Tamandua tetradactyla: one gene and its partners. The protein of the gene in region 3 interacts with the protein of the main gene of each other region in a biochemical or structural test. Links are inferred from orthologs where the notes say so. Each region holds a gene or a part of one and is shown on either strand. Other genes may lie near its edges. The genes, in order: GTF2E1, CDK9, GTF2F1 and GTF2B.

The links.
Region 1: the proteins of GTF2F1 (region 3) and GTF2E1 form a complex in vitro, tested with the Homo sapiens proteins (3 studies listed by BioGRID). The link is inferred for Tamandua tetradactyla from reciprocal best matches to the Homo sapiens genes GTF2F1 and GTF2E1.
Region 2: the proteins of GTF2F1 (region 3) and CDK9 form a complex in vitro, tested with the Homo sapiens proteins (2 studies listed by BioGRID, with this or other methods). The link is inferred for Tamandua tetradactyla from reciprocal best matches to the Homo sapiens genes GTF2F1 and CDK9.
Region 4: the proteins of GTF2F1 (region 3) and GTF2B form a complex in vitro, tested with the Homo sapiens proteins (3 studies listed by BioGRID and IntAct). The link is inferred for Tamandua tetradactyla from reciprocal best matches to the Homo sapiens genes GTF2F1 and GTF2B.

The regions. Positions count from the first base shown.
Region 1 is NC_135336.1:25,108,759-25,116,079, reverse strand, and holds the start of GTF2E1 (general transcription factor IIE subunit 1), read left to right. Parts: upstream 1-4,312; 5' UTR 4,313-4,443; intron 4,444-4,449; exon of another isoform or gene 4,450-5,395; intron 5,396-7,321. Other genes in the region: RABL3 (rab-like protein 3), read right to left, coding at 4,148-4,193.
Region 2 is NC_135328.1:50,628,520-50,635,437, reverse strand, and holds the start of CDK9 (cyclin-dependent kinase 9), read right to left. Parts: upstream 3,019-6,918; 5' UTR 2,903-3,018; coding exon 2,811-2,902; intron 2,352-2,810; coding exon 2,270-2,351; intron 1,557-2,269; coding exon 1,466-1,556; intron 1,097-1,465; coding exon 930-1,096; intron 806-929; coding exon 634-805; intron 510-633; coding exon 361-509; intron 1-360. UniProt on the Homo sapiens protein: Protein kinase involved in the regulation of transcription.
Region 3 is NC_135337.1:75,642,550-75,649,741, forward strand, and holds the start of GTF2F1 (general transcription factor IIF subunit 1), read left to right. Parts: upstream 1-4,221; intron 4,222-4,305; 5' UTR 4,306-4,365; coding exon 4,366-4,460; intron 4,461-4,811; coding exon 4,812-4,884; intron 4,885-7,192. UniProt on the Homo sapiens protein: TFIIF is a general transcription initiation factor that binds to RNA polymerase II and helps to recruit it to the initiation complex in collaboration with TFIIB. It promotes transcription elongation.
Region 4 is NC_135337.1:35,873,684-35,881,206, forward strand, and holds the start of GTF2B (transcription initiation factor IIB), read left to right. Parts: upstream 1-4,507; 5' UTR 4,508-4,629; coding exon 4,630-4,646; exon of another isoform or gene 4,647-5,103; intron 5,104-7,523. UniProt on the Homo sapiens protein: General transcription factor that plays a role in transcription initiation by RNA polymerase II (Pol II). Involved in the pre-initiation complex (PIC) formation and Pol II recruitment at promoter DNA.

The DNA of each region.
Region 1 (7,321 bases), on a different chromosome or scaffold from region 3:
TAACAAAGGTTAAAAAAAATGCTATCATCAATTGTAACAAATGTTCCAAACCAAAGGGAGGTGTTGGGGCTGGTGTGGTATATGGGGATCCTGTATTTATGCATAATTGTTTTGTGAACATACAAGTTCTCTAATTAAAAAAATACATGCTAATGTTTGTTTATAGTTTTATTCACCCTGTTCAATTTTTTTGCATTTGAAATCATGTTTATCTGTGCATTTATTTATTTATTTATGCATAGGCAGGCACCGGGAATCGAATGTGGGTCTCCGGCATGGCAGGCGAGAACTCTACCTGCTCAGTGAGCCACTGTGGCCCGCCCCTTATTTATTTTTAAATACAATTTTATTGAAATATTGCTGTAGTTTGTTAAAGCTGCCAGAAAGCAATATATCAGGAATAGAATGGCTTTTAAAAAGGGAATGTATTAAGTTAAAAGTTTATAGTTCTAAGGCCATAAAAATGCCCAAACTAGGACATCCAGGGAGAGATACCTTGTCAAGAAAGGCCTATGGCAGGCAGGCCACGTGGCTCAGCAGGCAGAGTTCTCGCCTGCCATGCTGGAGACCTGGGTTCAAGTCAATCCCCAGTGCCTGACCATGTAGAAAAAAAAAGAAAGGTCTATGGGTCTGGAACACATCTGTCAGCTGGGAAGGTATGTGGCTGGTGTCTGCTGGTCCTTTGGCTTCTGGTTTCAAAAAGCTTCCCTGGAGGAGTTTTCTTTCTGCATCTCCAAACATCTGCATCTCCTGATGGCTCTCAAGCAACTTTCTCCAGGCACTTGAGCTTTCTCCAAAATGGTCTCCCTTTTAAAGGACTCTAGTAAACTAATCAAGACCCACCTTGAATGGGGAGCTTCACACCTTCATCTAATCAAAAGGTCACACCCATAATTGGGTGTGTCAATCTCCATGGATCAATCAAAGTTTTCACCCCACAACACTGAATCAGGATTAAAGGACATGGCTTTTCTGGTGTACTCAACAATTTCAAACCAGCACAGATACATTCACACACCATACAAACGATCTAAAGTTTACAACAACTGGCTCATAGTATTACCACACAGTCGTGCATATATCCCTATGATCAATCTTAGAACATTTTCATTACTCCCATCCTGTTTAATTCTAAACTCTTTTGAGGGCTGGGGCTGGATGCTACTCAATTTTTAGTGTCCAGTACTGTGCCTAAATTAGTAATTATGAGTGAGTAAAATTTCCCATATTTTTACAGAATCCTTAAAAATAGTTTTAATGTCTCCATAGTATTTCAGAGACTAGACATAACAATTCACTTACCCATTCCCCCATTATTAGATACTTAGGGTCTTTTTAACTTCTCAATATCCTAAAAAAAGCTTTTATTGCTGTTTAAACTTTTGTTTAAAAGTAGAAAAATGTGCTTAATATAATGAGTAAAAAGAAATGAACATATAAAGTTTTCTTGATATATATAGTACAAACAGCTTTCATCTGGTTACATGGCTACCAGCCACATATGAGGCAGTAGATCTTGTTACATCTCAATAGTATCATATAGTTGCATTTTTACCTTTGTTAACTGGTAAGTAAAAAGAGACCTCTTGTTTTAATCTGCTTTTTTTTTTTTTACTTTCTGGCAAGATAATATTTCGTTCATCTTTGCTAATCAATTACCTTTTCCTGTTTATGAACTATCTGATGTGTTCTGCCCACGTTCTTATCAGTTTATATGACCTCTTTATATATTAAAGGTATTAATTTCATCTCGTGTATTTGAGTCATTTCCTTAGGTTTCTTTTTTATTATTTTAATTTTATTACATACAAATATTTAAGATTTTTGAATATTCAAACTTAGCTTTGCCGTTGTATTTATTACATTGCAACTGTATTTGTAACCATTAGGGTATATTGCTAATTTGTTAATGTTGGACCCATTTATCTGGGCACTTGGTTAATCTGATACAGGGCTTGAGCTTTTCATTTTGCTGTATAAGAGAAAATGTCTCTACTCAGTAATACTGTTCAGCTCTCCATTAATTAACTGCTTTGGGAAGAAAGTCTTAGCTATCACTGGATGAAATTCTGAACAGTAAGCACAGGTGAAGTGCTCAGAATAGTGGCTAACTTCATTTTTTTAAGAATCTGGGGGGTGGATAGGTTCTGATTCCATGTTATCACCATTAAAGCCAAATTAGATTAAAAGAATACATTTGGTTTCTTGGGAAGGGGGAAGCAATATAATTAAATGCCAGCTCCAAATGTAGCTGTAATATATTAAGCCTATTCCTAATATCTGAAAGAACAAAGAGAAAATTCTGTACGTGTTGGTGAAACTTTCAGGAAATTATCAAATACTTCTCTGGGGAAAAAAGTAAGTCTCTAAATCTCAAGTCTTTCCTTTATATACTTGTGAAATTCTCAAAATTCCATTGGGAGAATAATCCTTTATTCAAAAGTAAATTTTGAAGTTTAAATACAAAGGCAAATGTAGTGTAAAAAGTATATTCTAACCTGCCAGATAGTAAATTGTTCCTAAAAGGGAACTGACAAAAAGGCAATAACTGACTTAGTACATGCAGTATAACATTAGTGAATGTGTGACAAGAGTAATCATTTCCCTGGTGTGTAAGGCTGTGTCTTCTGTCTTACTTACTCAACTATGAAAGAAAGAAATGTTTACTAATTGCCTGATTACTTTTCCATATTTTATGCAGCAGATAATTCTACCCCTGTTACGGAATTTGCTGATTCCTCAGCACCTAATGCAGCACCTAATGCAGTGCCTGGTAAGCAGTAGGCACTCAAGCATTTGGGGGGAAGGGAGGGGAGGGAAAGAATAAATCTACTAGTTCCAACAGTATGTAACATGAAAGATTGTTAGATATAATATAAAGGGAAAAATAGGTGAGAGATAACCATGTTCCATAACATGAAGAAGTGCTACCAAGTGCTCTGGATTCCAGGCCTAAATCCGATTTGGTCTCTTGCCAAGTCTCTTGCTCCATACCTTATTTTCTTCATCTGCAAAACTAAGCAATCTGATTAAATTAACTTCAGCACCATTTCAAGCTCCATGACAAGAACTAGAGCTGACATGGTTGGTTTTTGCTCATGGAATTTCATAATACATTTCTTAGGGGCCTATTAAATTAATGCTTTCCGTGAAATACTTCGTAATTCAAAAATCTTCAGACAACGTGAAAACAACTCCCCATCTCCCAATTTGATATAGTTTTTGTAAGCTAGTTTTCAAACTCTCTGAAGTGAGTTCTGTCCACCTCCAAGAATCCAGCACAGTGTCTGCTCAGTGCACACACTCAAGGGTCAATTCAAGAAAAGCACATCCACTAAATTAACATTTATTTCGGGTTCTTAAAGAGTTTGGGATTGGGTATTACTGTGGGGAGAACGTGAGCAAGATATTAAAGGGGGGATGCAGATTTCAACTCTAGTTATCAAAATTTCAAGGTGTCAAAGAAGAATTTTAATACTAGGATTCCGTTGGGCTCAGCATTAATTATTAGCTGCTCCAGAATATGAGTCTTACCTTCATTTCTCTATTTCTCACAACCGTGTGCGTAAGTTTCAATGAAGTTTAAACGAGAAAGAAAATCAAGAAGCTCAAGTGAAAACAAAACAGGACCACCTATTTTATAAAGTTAGGTTTTCAAATGAGAGCGGATTCCGGGGTTCAAACTGGCTTTTCACAATCTCTCGGCCTCACTTTCATCACCTGTAGGGTAACGGCGCCGATTTCAAGATTAAATAAGTTAATATATGTAAAGTGCTTGGAACAGTGCCATTCTTAGCGGACGTTTGACTTCCTTAAAGAACAAAGTCTCTTCAAGGCGCGGTCCTACTAACATCTGTATCCCTAGCTCGGTGCTATCTTCTAAGACAAAAGAACTGATAATACATCTCCGTCTGAGTGAAACGCGGTGAAGGCGGAGCAGGGCCCGGGTTCTGCGCACCTAACCCCCGCGCCGCCGCCGTCTAGTCAATGCAGCAAAGTCCTCTGGGAAGTGTAGTTTTTAGACGTTGGAAAAGACTTCAGCCACGGGCCAAAGAGACAATTAAGCTGGGGGACAAGCAGTAAAGGGAGGATATTATCTGATAACTTAACAATGTCGGGCGCCCCAGAAGCGGGTTGAGCCACTCACCTGAGTCCCCCAACACCAGCACCTTCACACGATCCAAGGAAGCCATCTTGCCACCACCTTCCCGGGGTCAACGTCAGTTATAGGACGCTAGGCCAATTAGAGCCGGCCTGAAGGGCAGAGCCTTCGATTTCATTGGCCGGCCAAAGCGTGACTGCAGGTGAATGTAGGGAGGTGGTTTCCAAGGCTTGTCGCAGGAATAACGCGTTGACGTTGGCGCATAAGTGTCGTAGCTCGTTTAAGCCGGTAGTTGAGGCGCTGAAGGAAGCTGTAGTGGGAGTGTTCGAGCGTTCGCTTCGGTAAACCTTGTTCCCAATTCCTTGTTCCAGGTTCCCTGGCTCGGGGTCGCATTTTAGGCTTTCTCCTCCTTTTCACTCCTCTCTCCTTAACCACCCTCTGCCCTTTACCTACACTTCTAACCTGGACCTCTTTTTGGTCCTTCAAAGAACCATTAACCTCGGAGCAGCCCTTGTGCGACCGCGTTTTGGTTGGGTTTGGCTGCGCTGGGTTTGGTTACTGGTTTCAGCTGGGAGAATCCAAGGGAGTTTGGGGGCTCTGGGTCTCGTAGTGGGGAGGAATGAACATTTTTGGACCGGGCTAGGGAGGGCAGCTGGGTCCGGATGTTTGCCGCGAAACATGGGAAGGCGTGGAGAGTGCTATGAAATATGGTAATTATGAAAACAGCAGTTAGGTTTATAGAATCCAAGAAATTCTAGAACTGGAATACTTTACCGAAGTAACCTAGATTCCTCTCATCCTCTCTTTTTTCCTTTTATACTCCACTTTGCAGGGAGCATAATTTTTTAAAATCGCGAATTTGGTTCTTTCACCTTCTTGTTAAAACCATTTGAAGTTTAATAAAAGGCAACAGCCTTTCTTTTCTGGAAGCAGGAATGGAATAAATGAGTTGGGGAGGAGCAAGAGTGGGCTTGTTGGAAGAACACGTGCCTAGGTTATCTATTGAAAGTTTATGGTAATACTTTACTAACTGTGCTGGATCTGGGAATTCATTGGTAAACAAGATAAAGCCTTTGCTCACAAAATAATGTTTTAAGGGTGGGGAGAGAGATGGAGAAAGTAGAACTCTACTCTAAAGAAAGGAAAAGAGCCATAGGAGCGACTTAAAGAAGATGATTCTAATCTAACAAGAGAAATCTGGGAAGGCCTCTCACAGGAAATGTCATTTGAGATTTGAAGGATAATCAGAAGAAGGAGATTTGGACTTAGCTCTTGGGACAGATTGAATAGCAGGTACAATGACTGAAGTGGGAGAAAACCTGTTTGGCTCATGAAATTGAAAGATTGTCAGTGTGGCTGAGGCTAGGCTGACAAGGGTAAATAGAGGGCAGAGAATGCATTCATTTCAAATTTGTTTCTTTAGCTCTATGCTGGTGAACAGTAGTCCCTAAATGTTTTTGTGATTGGAATACATGTGGGTAAATGGTAGCCCAGCCTGTGTTTGGGTGTTTAGGCTGGTTAGGGATGAGGCTGGCAGGTATTTTGAATAAAAAGAAAAAACTCAGAAGTCACACACTCAGAAGGCCAGCCAAGCTTCTAACCTGTCTAAACGTGCCAACTGCGGTCACCTTCAGGTGCTTATTTGCATGTGGGGATGTGGTCTTTTTTTTTCTCAGATATTTTCAATTTTCAAGAGAAGCTGGAAGTTGAAACGTGTGAAATTTCACAATTTTTAAATGTTGGTAACTACAGAAATTTTTCAAGACTTTTTTTAGGTCAAACAATATGTGTATAGGTTACCACTTGAGACCTCTGTTTTAAGTTACTTTAAATATCCAGAGATTGAGTGGGAGATTCAGCAGGAGTGGGTAAGTAGAAATGGTGGAGTAGGGAAGTCATTGGTCAGAAGAAGAATTTCAGAATACGGAGATTTTGAACACAGTAGCACAGCACTGACTTCTTTCCTGGTTCATTTCTTTTGTACAGCTCTCTGCTGTGCATCTTTCTAGTGGTATTTCCTCAAAGATAAACATCTGAGTGCACACTGCTTCCAAACCTACTTTTCTGGTATTACCTATTTCTCAGATAATATTTATATATCAACCTTAATATAATAGCCGAAGACAAATAGCTATTTTTAAATTTTTCCTACTCTAATACCCCATTTTCAATATATTGTTAGTTCCTTTCAGTTTTGTTTCTGTATTGTTTCATTCATCCTGTCCTTTTCTTGGAATTTTTGGTTTTATTTTTTTTCTCCTCCCATTTTTGTTTTCCTTAGTTTTGACTTGATTGCTGTAGTTGCTAATACTCCCGCATTTTCTCCATTTTCACTCACTATAGACCGTTCCTCATATTGTTGAGTCACTTTTTTCTTTTTATTTATACTTTATTGTTTTTTTTAATTTCTCCCTCATTTTTTAAAGGACAGTTTTGCTGGATATAGAATTCTTGGTTGGCAGTTTTTCTCTTTTAATAATTTAAATATATCATCCCACTGTCTTCTTGCCTCCATGGTTTCTGCTAAGAGATCTGCGCATAGTCTTACTGGGCTTCCCTTGTATGTGATGGATTGCTTTTCTCTTGCTGCTTTCAAGATTCTCTCTTTCTCTTTGACCTCTGACATTCTGATTAGTAAATGTCTTGGAGTATGTCCATTGGATCTATTCTCTTTGGGGTATGCTGCGCTTCTTGGATCTGTAATTTTAAGTCTTTCATAAGAGTTGGGAAATTTTCAGTGATAATTTCCTCCATTAGTTTTTCTCCTCCTTTTCTTTATTGTTTTTTTTAATGCAGTTTTACTGAGATATATTCACACACCATACAATCAAGAGTCACTTTTAAAAATCTTATAAATGGCAGTACTTAGTTGTACTGTATTATGGTGCCAACCCTGAAAGAGAATTTTCCTTGAATTATTTCATTTAATCCATACGTCAACCCTGTGAGGAAGGCACTTTTAATCACTTTTTATATGAGGAAACTGAGTTTGGGAATTTTCCAGGGCATAGGGGTAGGAAGTAGAACTCAAATTCAAAATCCACTATTGTTGGATTACAGAGTGTTTATGTCACATCCATGTTTAAATCTTCAGAGGCCCCTCAAGTGTATCAGGCAAAGAAAACAGGCTGGTAAGTGACACTGGGACTTCCCTATGCAGAACGTGCATCGGAGGGATATATAATAGCCTGGTGCCCAGTTTGTCAGTGGTCAGTGACT
Region 2 (6,918 bases), on a different chromosome or scaffold from region 3:
ACGTTAAAAGCATCAGTGGCAACAGTGTATTAAGCACACACCAAGTGCCAAGCCCTTTATACCCAACGTTGAATGTGCGTATCAACCCTGATACAAGCGTGACTTCTGTTCCAGAGAAGAGAAAATCAACTCTGAGATGACAGTTCAAATGCCTTACCCAAAGCCACAGAACTACATGGTGAGAGAACCAAGACTTGCACACAGGCTGTGGGGCACTAAAGAGGAGGCCCTTTCTCTGCTGGGCAACTCTCCTGGGAGGAGCTTTCTGATATTCCGTTCCCCCACTCCTCCCCAGCCAGGGAGACTTCTGGGTCTCTGCATCCTGTGGGGATCAGGGGCCCGGGCAACTTGCGCACACACCTCAGGGGTGATGGAGCCACAGAGTTGGCTGATCAGGGCGAGCTGGTGCTGCTCCGTGTTGCCCTGCATGATAGGGCTGCGGGTCCACATCTCCGCCATGATGCACCCAGCACCCCAGAGGTCAATGGGGGGGCCGTAGTCTCGCTCTCCTGGGAAGAAGAGCGCACCAGGAGGGCCCCTTGAGCCCAAGGGCTTCCTGAGATGCAATGCCTTGGGGCTAATGGCTCAGGAAGCCCTGGCAGTGTGGGGCTGGGGCCATGTAGGGGTCCTCACCGAGCAATAGCTCTGGGGGCCGGTACCAGAGTGTCACCACACGATTCGTATAGCGGTTGGGCTGGCTGTTCTTGGCCAGACTAAAGGCCCGAGCCAGTCCAAAGTCTGCTAGCTTCAGGACTCCATCACGGGTGATGAGCACATTAGCTGCCTTCATGTCCCTGTGCAGGATCTGTGGGAAGGGATGGAGTGAGGGCTCAGCCAGGTTCCTTGGAGTCCTTTGACCACACCCATCCAGCAGTGGGCACAAAGGCCAACCCAAGTCTTAGTAACTCCTCCCCCACTTTGGTGCCCACCTTGTTTCTGTGGATGTAGTAGAGACCATTGAGTAGCATCTGCATGACCTTCTTGATCTCAGACAGTGTGAACTTGACTAAGACGTTACTCAACAGCCCAGCAAGGTCATGCTCACAGAAGTCAAACACCAAGTATATACTGCCTTTGCAACGGTTATAGGGGGAAGCTGGAACAGCAAAAATGAAGGGGGGGGGGGGGCAGGGAGAAGAAAAGAATAAAAAATCCCACATTCAACCCACTTTCCCATGGTCAGCTCCTACCCCTCTTCAACTTATGGACCACCCATGCCCTCAAGCATCCGTTTGCTTGTTCCTTCACTATTTTCTGAGTGCCTCCTCTGGGCTGGGTGCTGTGGCAAGCCCTGGGAAAGCATCAGCTACAATGAGAGAGGACCAGAGAAAGCAGTCATCACTACTACGTCTGGGTTAAACAGAGGCCATTTGGTATGTCCAGTTCCAGCTATGTAAACAAAGTTCATGCTATAAACCTCATTTGTTACCATCTGAAAATAGGGAATAAGATCCAAACAACTTACCTTTGGTTCGACAAATCTCAATCAAGTTGACGACATTCTCATGTTTTAGAAGCTGGAGGATCTTGATTTCCCTTAAAGCTGTGATAGGAAACTGGTGGGGAGAAGGGGAGGACAATAAGGGGTCAAAAGTGGGTGAGGGGGTGCAGACCAAGGAACTGCCTCTAGAATCTGTTCTAAGGAACAGAGGCTGGGAAAGAAGTAAGAACATGGGCTCTGAAATCAACTGCCTCAGACCCCCTATGGATAAAATAAGTATAACAGTAGTATGTACACTGATTCCAGACAATTAACTGAAACAGATATTTAGCACACTTTACCAAGTCACTAAATGCTCCTTAATTCCTTTCTGCCTTCCAACTTTAGCTCTATGCTTGTGTTTAACTTGCTTTGTGGTAGCAAAAACAACAAAAATAACTATTAAAAAATTCCATGGCTACAAAATTAATCTCTGGGGAACTAGACTAAGAGGGAGTGATACAGGGCGTTAATCCTCTTCAATATGTTCTCTTGAGTAGAATTCAACTTTTCAAAGCCACGTGGATGTTTTTTACATTAACCAAAACTACACACTAAAGAGAAAAGTGTTAAAAGCTCCCCTTCCCGACCCCAACCGTGTTAACAAATAAAATGTCAAACGCTTCAAAACATTCTAATTAAAATACCTAGTTTGAAGGCCAAGTTCTCTGGAATGTGGCAATTCCCAAATTACTAGATGCCAACTGAATTTCAACATGAGACTCCTAGGAAAAGTGGGTCCCCATGTCCAGTGGAGCTGGTAGGCCTGCCCACCCAACCTGTACTCACCCCCTCCTTCTCGTTCTCCATCAGCACCTTCTTCAGGGCCACCTTATCGCCAGTCTTGCGATGCCGGGCCTTAAACACTTCCCTGCAGGCCGAGAGGGGGACCCAAGAGAGCTCATCAGGCCGCTTCCGCTGGGTCCGCCCCTCCCCCACTAGAGGAAGAGGGGCAGGATAAGAGATACTCCCGGGCAGGGCGGAGTATACGGGGCAGTTGGCCACCCCACTACCTAGTATCTATGGTCCTTCTCCGATCTTCTCCGCTTCCTTCCCTCAATTCCTCCTCCTCACTCAGGCATCTATCTGGGAGAAGTCCCTCTTCCCCCAGGGGCTTCTCTCTGCAACCCTTTCCCGTACCCCACCAGAAGCCTCAGGCTCCTCCCCGCCAGAAGGCTCCGTCAGGTCCGGGTGGGATGCAGTGCGGCCTTGGGAGATAAGGGGACAAGCCCGGGGCTCGGCGGCTTCCCAACCACTTCGGGCCCGACCCCGGGCCCCCGGCGTCGGCCCTGAAGCATGCAGCCCCCGGTCTCCCCGGGCCGAGTCTTACCCAAAGGTGCCTTGACCGATCTTGGCGAGCTTCTCATATTTGGACACTTCATCACAAAACGGGCACTCCACCGAATCGTAGTGCTTTGCCATGGCCGCCTCCAGCGCACCGCCACCGCCTCCAGTAGACGCCGCCACTCCCGTCCCAGGTCCCGCTGCCGTGCTCCAGGCCCCTCCGCGGCCGCGCCACTTCCGCCTCCACGGCCACTTCCGGCCTCGCGGCGCCGACCCCGCCTCTTCCGCCCGCCGCCCGCCGCCAGGCCCCCTGGGACTTGTAGTTCCCGGGAGACGAGGGGGAGCCGGAGCTGCAGCGGCGCCTCCGCCGCCGCCACTGCCCCCGCCTCCGCCGCCGCCAGTGCCGGCGGCAGCTCCGATCGGGGGTGCGGGGAGCCGGGGCGCCGAGGCTGGGGCTCGGGGCGGTGCGTCCCGCTGCATCGGCTCGGACCGCCGCTGCTGTCGAAGCTGCTGCCTCTCTGGCGCCCGATCCGGGGCCAGCCGCAGTGCCCTGCTCCTCCTCCTCCGCCGGCGCCGCCTCCGCCAGGCTGCGCGGGGCGGCGGGCGGGGGAGCGGCCCCCGAGCCGCGGCCTGGGGGCTTCCTGGCCAGGCTCCGGCCCAGGACAGCCGGGCGAGGGGTCGAGTCGGGAAGAGCCGACGAGGAGGCGGCCGGAGAGCCCGGGAAGGGGCGCGTTATAAAGGGGGAGGTGCCCGGGCCTCGCCCTCCCCTCCCCCTCCTCCCGCCTCCTCCCTCCTCCCTCCCACCTTCCGCGGCCGCACCTGCCGCTGCTGCCGCTGTCGCCTCCCGCTGTCCGCCGGCCGCCCTCGGCGCGTCACCGCCCGCGGCCCCGCCCCCGTCTTTGGAGGTGGGCCCCCCGCGCCCGACACCTGGCTGTGGGGCGCCCCTCCGCCTGACTCAGTTTACCCCCGCCCCTTACTAGCTGCTTCGGGGAACCCTTTCCTCCACAGCTCGGGGTGCCCCCCTAGAGGCGAAGGCGAGACGCGTCAAAGGAGCGGCCTCCGGCCCTGGGAGGAGAGACCAGCCCACTCCGCGGCCTCCCCAGGCCTCCTCCACCCGCCGTTGACATGGCAACCGATGGCCGCTAGGGGGCGCGGTGACACTGGAGGCGGTGAGCGAGCAACAGCCGGGCCTTCGGCCCTGGATCCCTGTTCTCTGGGCGGCAAGAATGAGACCCCAAGGAACTACCACTCCGCCCTGCTGCGTCAGAGCCAGTTGGGCAAAGGACAGTAATCACAAAGATAGCTAACATTACTGAGCACACCTGTGTGCTGGAGAAGTGCTGGGGACTCCGCCGAATCCTGACAACAACCCCTAGTTAGTCAGTATTACAAACCCGGTTTTCAGTGGCCATTTAGGCTCTAAGAGAAGAGATTATTTGCCAATGGTCATACAAAGCTGGGACTCGAACCTGGGCTTTCTGAAACTGAAGAAGTTTCTTGCAGCTCGCAGTATTTACAGTCTGCCAGGCACCAAGCCGGCTATTCACTTACCATCTCCCTCATGGGCCCTGTGCCCTCTCCCCCTTTCCCATCCTACCCATGCCTTCTTCAGCACCTCCCTCATATCTCTCTGGTTCCATGAGCCTCTGGATTCCTCCTCCAGATCTACCCAACGACCAGCCCCCAGCAAAGCTGTCTTTTCTAACTCCTTGCACCTCTTCAATCTGCCCTCTGGGCTCCGGCCCTCTATAAGGGATCGGGAGTCCTGGCCACCCCAGACTCCTCATCTGTCCCCCTCACAGCACCTGCCAGATTATTCTAAAGCAGAGTCTGTATATATTTCCCACCTTCCTCAAGCCCTCCAACTGTCTCAAGAAAATCCTGACTGTGACATTTAAAGCTCTTTCCAGTTTACAATCCCAGGCTGTGTCCTTATGGGTTTCTCTACTAATTCCCCAAGCTTCCTGGCTTCAGGGCTGTGCTCCCCTGACCTCTCTCCCCCAAAAGTAACCTTTCTGCCTACAGGAGGCCTGCAGGGCGGCTTCATAGGTTTTACCCCTCACTGCCTGGCCTTGAGGCCTTCTCATGAGAAAAGGCAGGAACGGGTTTGGTGATCGTGGTGTCCCAAGAGGCCTGTTCTGCGCAGATCCCTGCCAGGGAGAGCCTTGAGAGTCAGGCTGAGGAGCCGGGTGTCCTCTCCTGAGGGTAACGTGGAGCTGGTGAGAATTTTTGATAAGAAGTGAGCTGGGGTCAGCTTCTTGGGCACACTGTTAGAAGCAGGGAGACCCTTGGCCAAATCAGGTGCAAGAGGGCAGAGAGGAAGATAATAGTTATAGTAATTACCATTTATTGAGGAAAAATAAATGTGCTAAGCCCTATACTTAAGGGAATTATCTCAATTCTCCCTGAATCTTATGAGGTACCTACTATTATCCAGCCTGGTGTACACATAAGGACACTGAGACTCAGAGGTGATGTCACCTGGCCAGGGTCAAATAGCTGGCCAGTGGCCTAGCTGGCATTTGAGCCAGGTTGGCATAAAGCCAAGCTCTTGCCCATGTCATGGTCTGCCCTTCTGGGCTGGGGGCAGAACTAGGGATGTGGACTGGATGCTGGATGGGAGGTGTGTGAGGACATAGTAGCAATACTATGAGGTCTGTCATGGGTCTATGTGGCCTCCACCATCAGGCCCTCAGGCTGGGACCTGCTGTCTCTTTCACACGAGCAATCCCATAAGTCACATCCTGTGGGCAGAAGCCTCAGCAGAGGTTCCGGTGGTGTTGTCACCTCTACTCCACCATCTGTGACCTGAACTTTCACATCTGCCAGTCACTTCCCTCAGGCTGTGGGCCCTGCCTGGAGAAGGAAGGCAGGCAGGGCATTGGGAGCCCTTCAGAAGGCTGCCCGGGCTTGGGGCCAGACATCACCAGAGCTGCCAAAACCCAAGTGAAGGTGAGAAGAAATTAGCAAGAAACAATTTCTAGACTTTGATTTCAATTTTGCTGGTCTGAGGAAAGTGTTTCCTGTATCCCAGGTATTCACTAAGCAGGCAAAGTGGGGCACGTGACTGGTAGTCAGTAAATGTCTGCTGAGTGACTGTCTGATCAGGCCCTGGGAACTCTGGTCCTGCTACCCATTTTATAGTTAGGGAAACTGACACATTAAGCAGGAAGAGAGTCACTGCTCAGCTGTTTGACCCTAGCCTGAACCCTTTTCCCACCCCTGAGCAGGGATGGGTAATGGGCATGTGGAGGGGAAGGAGAAGACAGATTCTTTGGGTAGGTTGCTCTTTGCATCTGGCACATCCAGAAAGACAAAGGATCTCTGGGGAGGGGGATAGAGGAGAGAAAACATCTGTGTGATGCCCACGGTCTTGTCAAACCATGGAAGTTTTGCCCTTACTGGCTGGGAACTAACTCTGCCTGGCCCTGTATTGACAGGCATCACCCTCCTGAAACTTTATAGCACCCCTCTTAGGAGGTATGATAATCAAGGCCAGGTTATATAAGAAGAAACAGGCTCAGAGATGTGAAATGACCTGCCCAAGGACACACAGCTAGGAAGCAATTGAGCTGGAATCCAAAGCCAGATGTCTTTTCTCTCAAAGCCTAGAGTGATTAACCATCATCCTACATTGCCCCCATTACCAGTCAATGGGGTCAACCCAGGGAAAAGCATCTATTGAGCACCTACAGTTTAGCAGGCATGGGGCCAATAAGTATGGGTAAGACCCATTCCTCTCTCAGGGAGCTTAAGGTCTGTTTGGAACATGCAAATAAAGACACACGTGGATGTAATAAGGATGATGATCTTGGTATAAATGTTTTATTTCACGGTCATACGAGAAACATCATATTTGCTCCATTTTAATGATGGGAAAAAGTGGCTCAGAACGGTGACATAACTTGCCCAAGGTCACCAAGGTGGGGACTGAACTTAGGTTTGCCTCAGTCCAGTACCTTTGATTATAACATTTAAGGCCTCCAATCCCTAATTGTCCCTGGCCAAGCTACAGGCTATTGGGTCATAGACTGGGGAAGAGGTGGCAGGAGTGAGGGACAGGAACCAGAGCAGGTTCTTGGGGGCACTGTAGCTAAAGATGGCCTTAGAGGTACTGGAAGGAGGCAAAAGATTGAACCAGTGGCAACAAGAGC
Region 3 (7,192 bases):
GAACTGGACTGCTTGGGCTTCCATTCCGCCTTCACAAACACTTAGACTGTGTGACCCTGGACACGGTCCGAGATCCTCTTGTGGAAAGGCAGTATGGGGACTAGAGCCATCCCTGACGGTGACAATTCAGCCATGCCAAGCGTAGAGAACAGTGCCGGCCCAGCCAGCACTCAAGACGCGTCCCCGTCCCTGTTGCCAGGGGGACGCATTGCCAAGTCAGCCGGCTTTTTTTCAAGAAATGTGATCTGAGATCTCCCAGTTTCTGAAGGTTCACTAAGAATTCAAGAACAAGGCTGTCTAGTCCCAAATGGATGCATCTGTGGATCAAATGGGTAGGTTGTAGGTTCTGTCTAGACTCTGCAGCCACTGTGGGGTCCATGCAGCTGGCAATTATGATGGGAAACCTATTTAAGGCCAGAACTTGGCCCTGAGGCCATGGAGGGCAGAAAATGGCTCAGCCAGCCCTGTGCTCTCCTGGAGTCTCCATCCAGGAGGGAGGGAGCCCAAGATCTGCCCTTTAACTTCATCACAAGTCGTCTGGTGTAACTGCTTGAATGGAGACAGGGACACAGGGCAGCACCCCACTGCTCTGTGACCTTTGATTGCATCAACACATCCAGACCACTTTGAAGGGAATTTAACCAGAATCGACACCCGCTGTAGTTTCCCTCTTCCTGCTACCCATTTCCAAATGGAATCAGAACAATCCCAGATGCTCCTGCCCTCAGCCTCCCCGTTCAGAGGCTCAGATGGATCCTTTCATGGAGTCAGTGTCCACAGGTAAAATTAACCTGAAGAAATCCACTCCAATGTCCTCTGTCCCTTCCCTTCCCCGCCTCTGCCTGGGTCGCTATTCCACCACCTCTGGGGCTGCTTCCAACTCCATCCCTCCACTCCTGGGCACCCCCCAGACCACCTAAACTTAGAGAGCCCACTCCCATCCCTCCAGGATTCATTCTGCTTTCTGTTCCCCACTGCCCTCATCCCTTCCAGAAGTTTCTTTGTTTTGTTTTGCACGTATTGCTGGGCGCCTGATGTCCCCACTGGAATGGCAGCATCTTAAAAGCAGGGCCCATGTTCCTCCTCTTGGCCTTTGTCCCCAGGCCCGAGGACAGCACCTGTTCTCAAGAACTATTTGGGAATGGGTGGTTGAATAGATGAAGGAGTGGTGATTTACATCCCATCCTGTGCCCTAAAGATGATACAAACTCAGTGGGGAACTATTTTATCTACTGGGTTCCAGGAGCTCTGGAGGAAAACAGTGAGAGGCCCTCAGAGAGCTCACTCAGGTTCTAGAAACTTCCCCACAACCTGACTGTCCCTTGATAACACATTTCCCTTCGGTCTCCTCTGCCGAGTCTCACTCTGTTGCCCTCGGCTTGCCCTCACACACACATACACGTGCTTTTGGGGTCACTCACAATGCACTCAAACTCCTTGGCCTGCTGCAGTTCCCGAAGGAAGCCATCAATGAGGAAGCCCTGGCTGTCCGGGCAGGACAGCAAGTTGTCGCTGACCATGTCCAGGATGATGCCCTGCGAAGGAAGCAGGTGGATCTGGTGTTTGGGGTGGGGCAGGGGGGCCCTTCCCTGCACCCACCACCCTGGGAGAACTTTTTTTATATGATCACTTTGATGGGGTGACACCTACCCTGCCCAGTGGCCTCTGAAACCCACTTCTGAGGATGGGCACCCCCCCCACACTGTTGACTGGGTGGGTGTCAGTCCAGGTGTGCTGGGTCCCATATGATTGAAATAACAATATCTCGAGGTGGGTCCTGGTGTTACAGAGGGGGTCCGGGGTCCACCCAAGGCCACAGAGGGAATAAGGCCCAGATGATTTTATGGAAAGCTTCCTAAGTGCCAGGAACTTCTGCTCAGTGCTTCAGAGGAGTGACCCACGCCTTCGGACATGGGTCCAGTCGGTCAAACCTGTCTCCCAGATGAGGAAACGGAGGCTCAAGGCAGGCCAAGCAAGGGCTGGGAGCCACGGCCACCTGGGAGGTCTGCCTGGTGCACCCCCTCCTGCCCTGACCCTTGCCCATGAGCTCTCACCGTGGGCACCAAGAGCCCCTGCAACATGATGTCACGGATCTGCCGGCCCCGCTGAGTGCCCCGCTGCGCCTCCTGCCGCAGCAGCTGGCCCAGCCCCACGTGGCAGAAGCTATATCTGTTTGCCATATTCTTGCACTGCGTCCCTTTGCCACAGCCGGGGCCGCCCATGAAGAAGACGATGAGGGGGTCTTGAGGACACCTGTGGTGCCCAAGGAAGAGGGAGGAAGACGATTTGGGGTCTGATGGGCTGGTGAGCACCAGTGTAGCTGTGTTCACAGTTAGGGCGTGCTCTTGGGTGGCAGTGCACACAGGTCTCCTGGCATACCCTCTTTTGCCCTAGGATGGCCTCTGGGGTCCCTGGACATATCCAGGAGTATACCCAGGCACGTTATGAGTTGCTACTGCCATGGGCGGCTGTCCACGAGCAAATGAACTCGAGCAGGCCAAGCTCTTCACAGCATCTCCTTGAATCAGCCCACCAGCTCTATCATCGCATTTCACAGTTGAGGAAACTGAGGCTTGTAGAGGAGCAGGGACTCTCCCATGTCCCCAGACTCATTCCATCCTCCCCTGCCCCATCCCAGTGCCCATTTTTCTGTTCCTTTGAACATGCTGAACTCATTCCTCCCCAGGGACCTCCACCTGGAACACTGCTCCAGCTCCTTCAGGCCACACATCAGCCCAATCCTCCCCCTCTCATCCCCAGTCTCAGGACACCATTTCCTCCACAGCAGAGACCATGGCCACTAATTATTTTGCCCATTTACTTGTTCTTGTTTGTCTCCCCAGCCGGACTCTGTCCTCCATGGAGGCAAGGACTCTTTCTGTCTCGCTTATCCCTATATTTCGAGCGCTTGGCACAGTTCCTGATATATAGTCATCAGAGAGGAATAAAGTAATGCCCAAGGCTACCAGGCACATCTACGGAGCCTGTAGTTTACAGTTGCATTTTTGTGTCTTGCTCCCCTCTCCCTTTGCTTGGTAACTCTTCTGCATCCCTCGGGGCCCAGCTGAAACCTCCCATCTCTCCTGAGCAGGGAGTTGGTTTTGCTCAGTCCCCCAAACAGCGCAGCACACAGTCGGAGCAGGTGGACCAACGAATGAATGGCTGCGTGGTGAGCATGCGCGGTCGGCGGAGGCGGGGAGACCGCGCATCTGCACTTCCCTCCTCAGTTCCCTTCCCCTGCCCCCAGAAAGCTAACCACCCCAGCTGTTACCCTTCTCCTGGGGCCTCAGGGTCCTGCCCATTTTGGGCAGCTTGGACTTGCACAGACCCATCCCGTCAGCCGCCAGAGGGGTGGTCGCTACCCATCCCTACCCAGGGCCTGACCCCTCCTGGCTAGGCTCGACGTCACAAGGGCTCCCTGGTCCGACCATCTTCCGGGATGAGGGGGTTCCCCGGGGGCAGGAGGAGGAAATGAACCCCAAACAAGCCCTGGTGGAGCCGCAGTGGCTCTGCGGGATGAGTAGGCCTCGGCTGCTATGGTAACAAGGATTCGATGGATTCACTTCCGGAGATGACGCGTGCGCAAGGCGCCTGGGACTCAGCGAGGAGGGAGACCCCCTTTCCCTACCCAGAATGCCCCGCGGCCATTAAGGGGTGACGTCGATGGGGAGGGCGTTCCCAGCCGCAGTGATTGAATCAGTCGCGCCTCTTTCTATATATAGATAGTGGAAAACCAGAGCGCGAGCGGCAGAAGGTGCTGCATTGAGTTCAACTCGGTCTAGAAAGAGAAGGGATAAGTGTCAGCAAGTGTAGGGGCCCGCGAACCAGGAGGCGGTTGCCATCGCGACACGGGGCCACGGAAAGTTTCGCTTCCAGGTCAGGCGGCGGCGCAGGCGCAGACGGGCGGGAGTGGGCCGGCGGCGCTGAGGACTTGGGGTCTTCTGTCAGCGACCGCTTCCCGCGACTAAGAGGACTGCTTCCCCGAAGGCTGAAGGACGCGAACCTCGGGGGAGGCAAGAAGGAGGAGGCCCCGACAACTTGACTGGGTCGGACGGCACCCGGACCACTGACTGTTCCCATGGCGGCCTTAGTAAGTATGCGGCGGCTTTAGGGAGTCCCGACCCGGGTCTCTTAGCAGCCCGCCCGCTCGTCATCCCACTTCCTCTCTCCACAGGGCCCCAGCAGCCAGAATGTCACTGAGTATGTCGTCCGAGTTCCTAAGTAAGTCCCAACCCCACATCCCATCTGCCTCCAGACGGGAATTACGACCTCTACGAGCTTCTAGGCGTGTCTGATTCCTTTTAGATCGGGAGCCTTTGAGGGCAGGTTGAACTGAGGTCTCTCCAGGGGCTTCTGTTGTTTTGAATGAATAAGCGGGCGATCATCACTGCACAGCATGATTCAGGCTCCTGGCCTAGCATTGGAGGCCTGTATGCTTCTCTATTCCCCGCATTCTTGCTGTAAGGACATATTTTTATCCTTTCTCCACTGGTCTGGCTTTCATTCATGTCCAGGACCTCCAGGAAGCACTCCCTGCTTGCCTCCAGCTCTGCCCCCTCCCTTGCTCACCCTACTCTCCAGAGCCAAATTCCCCCAGGTCTTTGTCCTTATTTCTGCTGTACTTTTGCCTGTGGTTGGGAGAGTGTGGATCTGGCTTCCTTGACAGACTGGAAAACCCTTAAGTCTTTTATGAGTCCCTAGCATTGCCCTGCCCAGAGGGTCAGCCCAGAAGGGTTTGTTGAATGAACAAATGTATGAATGAATGAACACTGCCTTTTTTTTTTTTTTTTTTTTTTTTTTGCCCACTCAAGAAACACAACCAAAAGGTATAATATCATGGCCTTTAATGCAGCTGATAAAGTCAACTTTGCTACTTGGAATCAGGTAAGTCCTTTGTTTGGGGGTGGGAGTAGGTGGATGAGGGAATGAGAGAACCTGATTCTAATAGCTTGGAAAGGAAGGCTGTCCTGGAGTGGAAATAAAGTGATGACTAAGGCCCAGGCAGAGCTGCTGGATGTCCGCTTAGGGGATTTGGCAGACCCTTCAGAAAGCCTTCTTCAAGGAGAATGTTTAGGAGTCATGCCCACTAATGGGCATTTTGGGCCCAGATTGTCAGGGCCAGGAAGGGACTCTGCTCTGGGCTGCCTCCTACACGTGGCTCCAGAGCCCCCTGCAGGAGAGCTTCTAGAAATGACCTTGGAAGCCATGAAAGGGTTTTTCAAACAGGCAAGTCACAGAGTTATCTAGCTGCTGGGGCTAGGGAGGCAGCACTGCGTCTGGTGAGCAAGGCTGGGAGAAAATGGAGGTGATGAGCAGTGGTTGGACTCTGATATGTTTCGGAAATAGAGCCTACAGGGTTTATTGATGGATTGCGTATTGGCCAGTGAGGGAAAGTGAGGAATCACAGATGTTTCCATTTACTAAGATAGAGAAACCTGGAGAAAGTGCAGTTTGGATGGAATATTCCAGAACTCCATTCTGGAAATTTGTATTTGTTAGATACCAAAGAGAAGATGAGAAGTTAAGCAAGCAGTTGGATATATGAGTTGGAGTTTGGGTGTGAGTGGGAGTCGGGGTGTTTAGGGTGCCACCGAGACTGGGCAGTTGAGCAGGGAGTTGGTGGAAGGTTTATAGCATTGGCAGCTTCAGGCCCTCCCACAGTTGGGCAGCTCTGATTGCATATATTGTGAGCATGGTTCTCTTTCAGCTGTTTTCAAATATTGTTTCATCCAATTGAAATAATGAAACTATATGTTCAAGATGGCTCTGAGTGATTGATTGCCCTAGAGAGCGTGTTCCAGAGAGATATGCCGTGCCTGCATCCCGGGATCTCTAGCTACAGATCTCTAGCTACCTACTTACGTACAAACTAACAAGGTCAAACTAACATGCTTTCCACCCCCTACCTGGTCCATTCCCCCCATCCCAGCCTAGTCTGTCATCTGATACAGTGTTTCTAAATCCCTTATCACTGGGGGAGGGGGGCTTCTGCACTAATCATCCAGGAGAGAGATGTAGGGGCACCCTTCTCCCAAATCCCTAATCACCAAGAGGAAGTCCTCACTGGTTACCTGGGAACATTACCCTTAGTCCTTCATCAACCAGAGGGCTGCCCTTCCCTACCCCCATCCCCGAGCACCTAGAGAACTTTACACCTTTGGAGGAGCTGTGCTCCTAAACACCAGTCACTTTGAGGAGGTGCTACCCCAACACTGATCTTTCAGGGACAGCACTTGAGAAGTCAGCATTATGCAAGGTGCATGACCTCCCGACCACTAGAAACTCGGGGTTCTGCGTACCCCATTCATTGATCGCCATGGAGAAGCATGCCCCCACCACTGATTGCCCTGGAGGACTCCTTGTTTCTAATCTGGGAGATGAGGCACCACCACCCCCCCCCCAAAATCTAATCATTCCATTGCCGAGGGTACTGCTTCTAAAGAAATATCATTGTTCAGGGTACCCTCCTCTAAAAAAACTAATGAGGAGTGGGCAAAACTGCACCCCTTGGAAGAAACCAATCTCCTGGAGTAGATGCCCCCTTAATCACTGTTTTAGTTTGCTAAAACTGCCAAAGGCAATGTACCAGAAATGAGTTCGGTTTTACAATGGGGATTTATTAATTTACAAGTTTAAAGTATGAAAATGTCCAAATCATGATGTTTTCTCCCCATTGACTGATGATCCTCAGTTCCTCTGTCACATGGCGAGGCATGTGGCTGGCATCTGCTGGCCCTTCTTTTTCAGGTTTCCTTGCTTTCAGTTACTGTCTGCTCAGACTGTGGCTTTCTTTCTGAGTTTCTGTGTGCTTCTCTTTTAGCTTCTGTCCCTCTTAGCTTGTGTCTGATTCTGAATGTCATTTCTTATGTAGGACTCCAGTAAGAAGTTTTCAGACCCACTTGGGGCATACCTCAACTAAAATAACCTACTCACAAGGCCCCCACCTGCAATAGGTCTACACCCATGGAAATAAATTAGCTTTAAAAACGTGATCTTTTCTGGGATATGTACCATCACATTCACTCATCACCCCAAGAATGGGGTGGTTACAGCTCTCCAAATGCTGTCAGCCACAAGGGACAGCCCCTTTCCTGACACTTAACCACCCCCAGGCAACACTGGGGTAGAAACTACCCCCAGACACATTCATTCAGCAATAGTTCCTTGAAACTGTCTTCTAGGCTGATGCTGA
Region 4 (7,523 bases), about 40 Mb from region 3:
ACTTTGAGAAGTTGCTGATTTTCCCCAATGAAAAGTTCTATCTGTACTCAAATAGCAGACAAGCCATCAATTCTGGGAGCCAAAGATTTCAAACATATCAATAAATAAGCAAATGGAAAAGTTAAGTTCAAGATCACATATGCAAATACATTTATCAATGGGATATGAGCCAGGAACATTTCAGTTTAAGTAGCACATGGGCTGACAAACACAAATGTCCTTGTGTGGACAGCTGTCCAAAATATTTTAGATCACAGCTAGCCCATAAAATCAAGTCCACATGATTGCTGCGGGTATACTGTTTATTGAACCCATTTCCCCAATTTTAAAGTCTTTAAATTGGAATTTCCATATATTGAGCTACAATTATGAGGCATATTGTATGGATTATGGACCCAAATTGCTGTGTTCAAATCCAGCTCTGCCTTTTACTAGTTGTGTGACTTCAGGTAGCTGCTTAACCATTCTGTGCCTCAATTTCCCCATCATAAAATGGGGATAATAATAGTATACAACTATTAAATGAGTTAATGTATGCAGAGCCTTAAAATAGTATCTGGCACAAAATAAGTACCAAATGTGTTTGCTGCAATTAATATCCTGATTATGTTTATTACTACTCCTACTGCTACTACCAGAATTTAAATAAGGCTTTATAGCCCTTATTAAAGAATCAAAAGGCTAGTAATCACTTCTACAAAAGTAGTCTGCACATCCCAGGGCACAATAATTTAGACCTAAAAAATATAGTTTTACAAATAACAGTTATATAATATGCATGCATGGAAGCAGGAACATTTTAGAATCAGTCATTCCTTACTTGAAATTTTACTATACCACTGCCTTACTGGGTGACCCTGGACAATTTGCCCACTCAATCTTTCTAAGTTTTCAGAGGAAGAATAATAATACTTGCCTGGCAAGATAACTAAGGAGCCAATAAGATCATGAATGTGAGGTGCAGGCACAGTGCACAGAGGGTTAGGAGTGTGAGGCACTCTTCTATTTTTCAGAATAAAGCCATGGAAATTGCAAAACCTACATGCTAGAGATTTCTTCTGTTTGGGAAAAAGGAAAAAGAAAAAAATAGATTCAGAAATAATAAAGCCAACTTCTGAAAAATGAGCAGTTAAAGTTGATCTCCAGTTTCTGTGATGTTCTGCTGCCTTCCCAATCTCTTTGCCTCTGGATCTTACAAAATCAGCACCTCTGTGGGGAAAGGCAGGGGTGTCTGCACTGAGAGCGTGAAACTTGGCTTCCAGAGCTCATTGCTACTCGAGCCTGCACTGTCTCAGCTCCAGCAGGACCATACTATCCCGCCTGGTGAAACCAAGTCACCAGGAATTAGGCCTAGGACAATAGCCACCTAAAAACTCACTATGTCAAGATATCATAGGTAATTTCATGAGTATTATATTGCTATCTGGAAAATGTTTAAAAGACCATCTTTTTAAAGAAATACACACTAAACTCTGTATGGGTTGAATTAATGTCTGGGATTTGTTTTAAGATATGTTGGTAAAAAGGAAAAAATAAGAGGAAGAGATACATGAAACTAAAGTAGCAAAATCTTGATAATTGATTAATCTGGATGATGGATATATGGGTAGTCATTGTATTATCCTCTTTAACTTTGAATGTGTTAGAACATTTTCATTCTTGTTTAAAATTTTTTTTTTTAAATCCCTCAGGTTTTTAGAAGGAATACATATGACCTCAGGTTTGGGTTTGCTAAAGTTGCTGGAATGCAAGATACCAGAAATGGGTTGGCTTTTACAATGGGGGGTTATTAGCATAAATTTTACAGTTCTAAGGCCGTGAAAATGTCCAAATTAAGCAATCAACAGGACAATAGCTTCTCTGTAGAGAACTCTGTAGAGACAGATGTTAGGCATAGAGTCCTTAAGGATTCCATATGAGACAGCAAGTCAGATTTATTGAAGGAATAAAATAGGGAGGAAACAGGTGGGAGAGTGAAAAGAAGAAAGCAGGTAGGAGCCTGAAATTGGCTCCCTCCTGGGGAGCCAGCAGGAAGAGAGAAAAAGAAAATGGCTCAGAGTCTTTGTTCTGGGAGCTGTGTTTTAAAGGGACAGTGATGCCAGGAGGGGAGGGTGCCCACTTGGTGGTGTGTTGTCCCTTAAGTGGATGGGGGCTTGTTGACTTAGGGTATGATAGATTGCTGAAGTATTCTCCTTTGATATGCAGGTTCATGTATTAGGCAGGGTGAGATGCTGGCAGGGAGGGTGGTAGCAGTGCCATCTAGAGGATACCATATTAGCTACTATGGCAATTGGTTCATATCTGGGTCCTTGGACCTGCCAAGGACTCTGAGGAGGAGGCTGAGGGAGCTCTGCATGGAGTTCCTTTTGTTCTTAGTCTGAAATCCAACAATAGAGGCATCTGGGACACCTCTGTCACACGGGAAGGCACATGGCCGGCGTCTGCTGGTCCGTCTGTCCTGGGTTTTGTTACTTTTAGTTTTTGACTCAGCTCTTCTGGGGACTTTTTCTCTAAACTCTCTCAGTTTCACCTCTCTGAACTGCCTGAGCATTTTCCATCTCCCAAATTCCATTTACATGAAAAGTCCAGACAAGGCAAATCTATAGAGACAGAACCACTATAGATTAGTGGTTCCTGGGGCTGGAGAGCGAAATGGGAAATAACTGGGCATGAAGGATCTCATTTGGGTGATGGAAATGTTCTAAAACTGGATTGTAGTGCTTGTTGCACCCACTCAGTAAAATTACTAAAAATCATTGAATTGTATACTTAGAATGGGTGAATTCAATCAACCTTTTTTTTAAAGATAAGTTCACCTTGGTCCACGGACTTTTTAAAATCTTTTATTAGGAGTGTAAAGCATTTTATATTTTAGAAAAACTATAACTAGTGCATCAAGTTGCTATTTCATTATAGTGATATAAACTTTGTCTTCAAAAATATTTTAAGTTTAAAAAGAGGAATTAATTTAAATAGAATTATTAGCATATTATTAGTCAACCTTATTGATGCCTAGGTGATAAAACTCAAATTGTGTTGCTATTTTTATTTTTAATCTCAGAATCAGTTATAAAAATTAAACGGGATACTGTTGATGAAAATACTTTATAATTTGCCAATGCTGTACTAACAACAGAAAAGGAAAGGCTTGCCTATTGCCTTCAACATTAATATAAAACATAAATTTTTACACGGTTACGACAGGGAAGAGACTTTCTAGGTGGGGCAGTTAACTAAACTAATCCATTTCCTTGTCTCCCTCTTCTGGGGCTTCAATTTCTCTAGTAGTTTTATCCTTTAACTAACATTTACTGAAAGCTTATCATGAATTCGCTCGGGGCTAGTATATTCGTGATTCTCAAGAGGAAGTCTAGCCACCCTCCTTCCCTTTGTCTCTCTCCTTTTCTCCAGAGCCAAGCTACTCTACCGTGAAAACTCCTTACCGAATTGGAGAACACCTTCAAACCCTTTCCTGGTGGTGCTTGGCTCAGCTGAAATGGATTGACATTTTTAAAACTTTCTCAATCACTATGGAAGAAAAAAACAAAACCTCACGAGTCAGTCATGTTTTTAAATTACAGAATGGAAAACTGGAACAAAAGAAATCATGCTCCCCCATCCCCGTCTAGATTTCAGTTCCTAAACTGCCCCCACCCTACACTTCTTTTTTCCTAAGGAAGTTTCTCCCACCTTCTCAAGAAAACAAGGAGTATTCAGTGGCATTTAAGTCTCATCCCCAAATGAATAAGGCGGTTACTATATTCTAAGTCCTTTTCCCAACAGAAACCACATAGCATCCTCTCTCCTCCAATCACCAGAGGAACCAGGGTGGTGCGTTCCCAGCAAACTGGTATTCAGACTTTAGTTTGGCTAATTAGTAAATATAGGAACCCTCTGTGTTATCTAGAAGGTGTACCAAGTTCTCCATACTTCAGCTATGAGCCAAATTTTTTAAAGACCATGAAAAACGATCAGGGAAGAGTCCATATATCCTCCCCTCATGCTCTGCAGAATGTTCTCACGTGCTTTTGTTTAATGTCCTGCCAACTCTAAAAGGGTATGCAAGGCGGATATTATTACCCCTTGCACTGATGGGGCAAGGGACGTGCCTAAGAAAGCACAGCATGTTAGCCGACAGCACAGCCAGAATGGACAGCCGATCTACGTGAATTTCTCTTTTCACTCCAAATTCCTTTGTGAAAAAGAATCAGCCCTCAAGGCAAGCAAGAAGTTTACTCAAACTGGAGTAACTGACTCCCGAGGAGCGGTTAACCCTCGATGGTATGGGCTTTGTTCTCACAATGACGTCGGGGTTTTCTTCATGTTTTAACATCCGTTGAGGGTAGCTCTGGGGCAGCCGTTTTTCAAGGACGTTTCCCTAGACAGTTTTATTAACTCGCCCATCAACAAAGTACAATTCAGAAACAGAAGAGAACATTTAAAAAGCTCAAAGCACGTGGCGTATGGGAGCTTATATTCTTGGCCTTTCTCCCGACCCGTAGCCGCGCCCAGTTACGACTGCGTAAGTGACTCGCCTATAAAAGCCTGACTCCTCGCGTCTTCTCGCCACAATCTCTTCCTGTTCTCTGTTCGGTTGTTGTTGTTCCTGGAGCCGTGGTGGCCGTGAAGATGGCGTCTACCAGCCGGTTAGTATGTCCGGCCGAGGCCGGCCAGCTAAGGGGCGGGCGGCGAACTCCAGGGATGCGTAGGCGGTCCCCTACGGCAGCGTCGTGCGAAGCGACCTGGGAGATCCGGGGAGACGCGGCGGAACTGGCTGGCGGACCCGGACAAAGGTCCAGACGACAAGACTGTCAGGGGTGTCGCAGGGGGTTCCGGGTTGTCGGCATTACAGTCTCAGCGTCCTGGGTCTTCCCAGACTTTCTTTTGTACGGTCGTTTTCTTAATTCAGGCACTACCTGGTGTGGGCCTGGGTGTTTTCAGCCGCCGGCCCCTCCTCTTGCCTGTATTTCAACCGTTTGTATTTGTTTTTTTTCCTTCTTGTCATTTTTCTCCACGTTTGTTTTTCCACCCAAGGCCCAACCAGCCTAAGTGTCCAGAGAGTCTTTCTTTCCAAAGAGCGGGAAAAGGGTAGTTCCAGGTCTCTCGATCTGACAGTTTGAGAGTTGAGAACGTCAGCTTTGGTAACCGAATGGAAACTGCTTACCATCCCAGCGGCGCTCCGAAGTGGACGACAGGGCATTTTTTAATAGTTAATGAGTTCTCATCCAAAAGATTTCTTTACAGATATCGCCTTCTGGATACTCCTGAAGAAAATCTTGCCTGCAGGCAATTACTTACATTATGCTGGGAAGTCACTCTTTACAGATATTTGTTAAGTGTAATATTCCCGTATCTAGTAAAAATGCATGCAGTGCCCTTGAGAAGCAGCCTTTAATCTTGTGACCTAAAAAATGCATGCAGACCCTAATTATATCTTTCATTACCCCTATGAGGTAAATACTAGTATTTTTGCATAAGTGTAAACTGAGTCATGCCAATGTTGACTTTTTTTAAGGTTAGTGTTAGAACAGCTAGTAGAACCTCAGATACCTGTTTTCTTGTTATCACACATCGGGCATCTAGTTAACTCAAAATGTATTAAGAGTATCAAATTTCTGCAGCACGGTGGAAGGCATTCTTCTTTAATTATTCTGACTATTATTATCTATGGAATTGAGCTCCGAGTAGAAACTATTGCTCAAAAAATAGTAAGCTGAGTGAGTCTAAACCCTTTCTGGTAACTGCCAAGACTTACCATTTTATATTGCGGAATTAAAAAAAAAATTTTAAAAGGAGCAGCTTTAGTTAATAGTCTGTTTAGAAATAACTCTTAAGACTAATGACACACTTGTTTACTGATTCAAATTCAACGATTGAGTGCTCAATCATTCAGTCTGGGTGTGGTTTTGTCGGGTAAGGCCAGAAAACACACTTCCCTTCCTCGTGGGTATATGGAAAACTTTAGTTTCCCAGAGTCAGCCAAATACAACTTATATTTTCATGGTAGTAAATTTTGGGAGTGAATGTCATATTTGGGCCTTGCTTTTGCATAAAATATATTAGAACAAGAAATTTTATTTGTAAAAAGTGTTGCAGTTTTTAAACAGTTTAGATCATTGTAAATTCACTTGATTGATTTTTTGCCTAAACAGTACATTACTTTTGTGTCTTTATTTTCTTAATTTGTTTTTAAAAATCCAAAAATTTGAAATAAATTTTTACTAGATAATCTGCAGCTCTTGAATTTATGTGCTTTTGCACTTAGACATCTCTCAAGTTTTTCTTTTACCAATAAGAACAAAGAAAGGTCACTGTTAATATATTTTCTTTTAGTTTTTTTTTCCCTGAGGATGAAATACAACCTCTGAGTTGTGAAATTGCCTGTAGTTCTCATAGAGAAGAGCACAAATTTAGTTCAGATCTAAGCTTTACTGCTTATTATTTTGATAACTTTGGGTACATAATTCCTGAGCATAATCTAAAATGGTGATGAATGCCTATTTTGCAGGATTGTGAAGATTAGTAATAATATATGTATTGCACTAGACACATAGTAGACACCCCGTAAATGATAATTGTAAAATGAGGTTTAGGATTAACTGACACTTTAGGTAGTCTACACTATTTTAATGTACATGGTGTTGGTGTTCTCCGTTCCTTTCCTAGTGTTTCTGTTCCTTACTTCCTCCACCACTCCCACTAGAGTGTGGTTCCTCTTTTATGTTACTCTTGTGGATAATTTGATTAAAAGTTGACTACTTTAGCATAGTTTCATTTTATTTTGGATAGCTAGCACAAATCCAAAGTAGGAAAGAATATATACTGAGAAGCAGTTTCCCTCCCCTACTACATCCATCCAGTTCTCCAAAACAGCCTTTGTTTCCAACTGCTTGGTGTTTGCCTTGAGATACTGTTCTTTTAAAAACATTTATATATGTTCTTGCCTCCTTTCCACCAGAAAGTGGCCTAATATAACCAGTGTTCATAACCTTGCTTCTGTCTTTATTGAAGTTAGCACATAAATTTTAAGTGCACAGCTCAGTTATTGCACAGTGAACTCATGCACATAGCTGCCATCCAGAACAAGAAATCAAATTCCCCTGGCACCCCAGAAACCTCTCTTCTGTCTTCAATTATTACCCCTTCCCATAGGTAACCATCTTCTGACTTCTAATACCATAGATTTACTTGGCCTGCTTTAAAGTTTTCATAAATCAAAAATGTATTCTTTTCATCAGCATTTTGAGTCATCCATGTTATTACATGTAACTGCAGTTCTTGTATAGAATTTCAACTTTACTTTTTTTGCTTAGCCTATTTTTGAGAAACATGTTTTCATATCATTATACAGAGTCATATAAATACTACTAAGATAATCTATCTACTTTTTAATGGTGCAGAATTATTGCTAGATCAGTCCTTTGTTAGTTATGTTCCACATGACTGCCCATTCTCATTTTATAATTATTGTTATTCTAACATTTTTGCTTTATTTCTCCATAGTTTTTCATAATTTATATTAA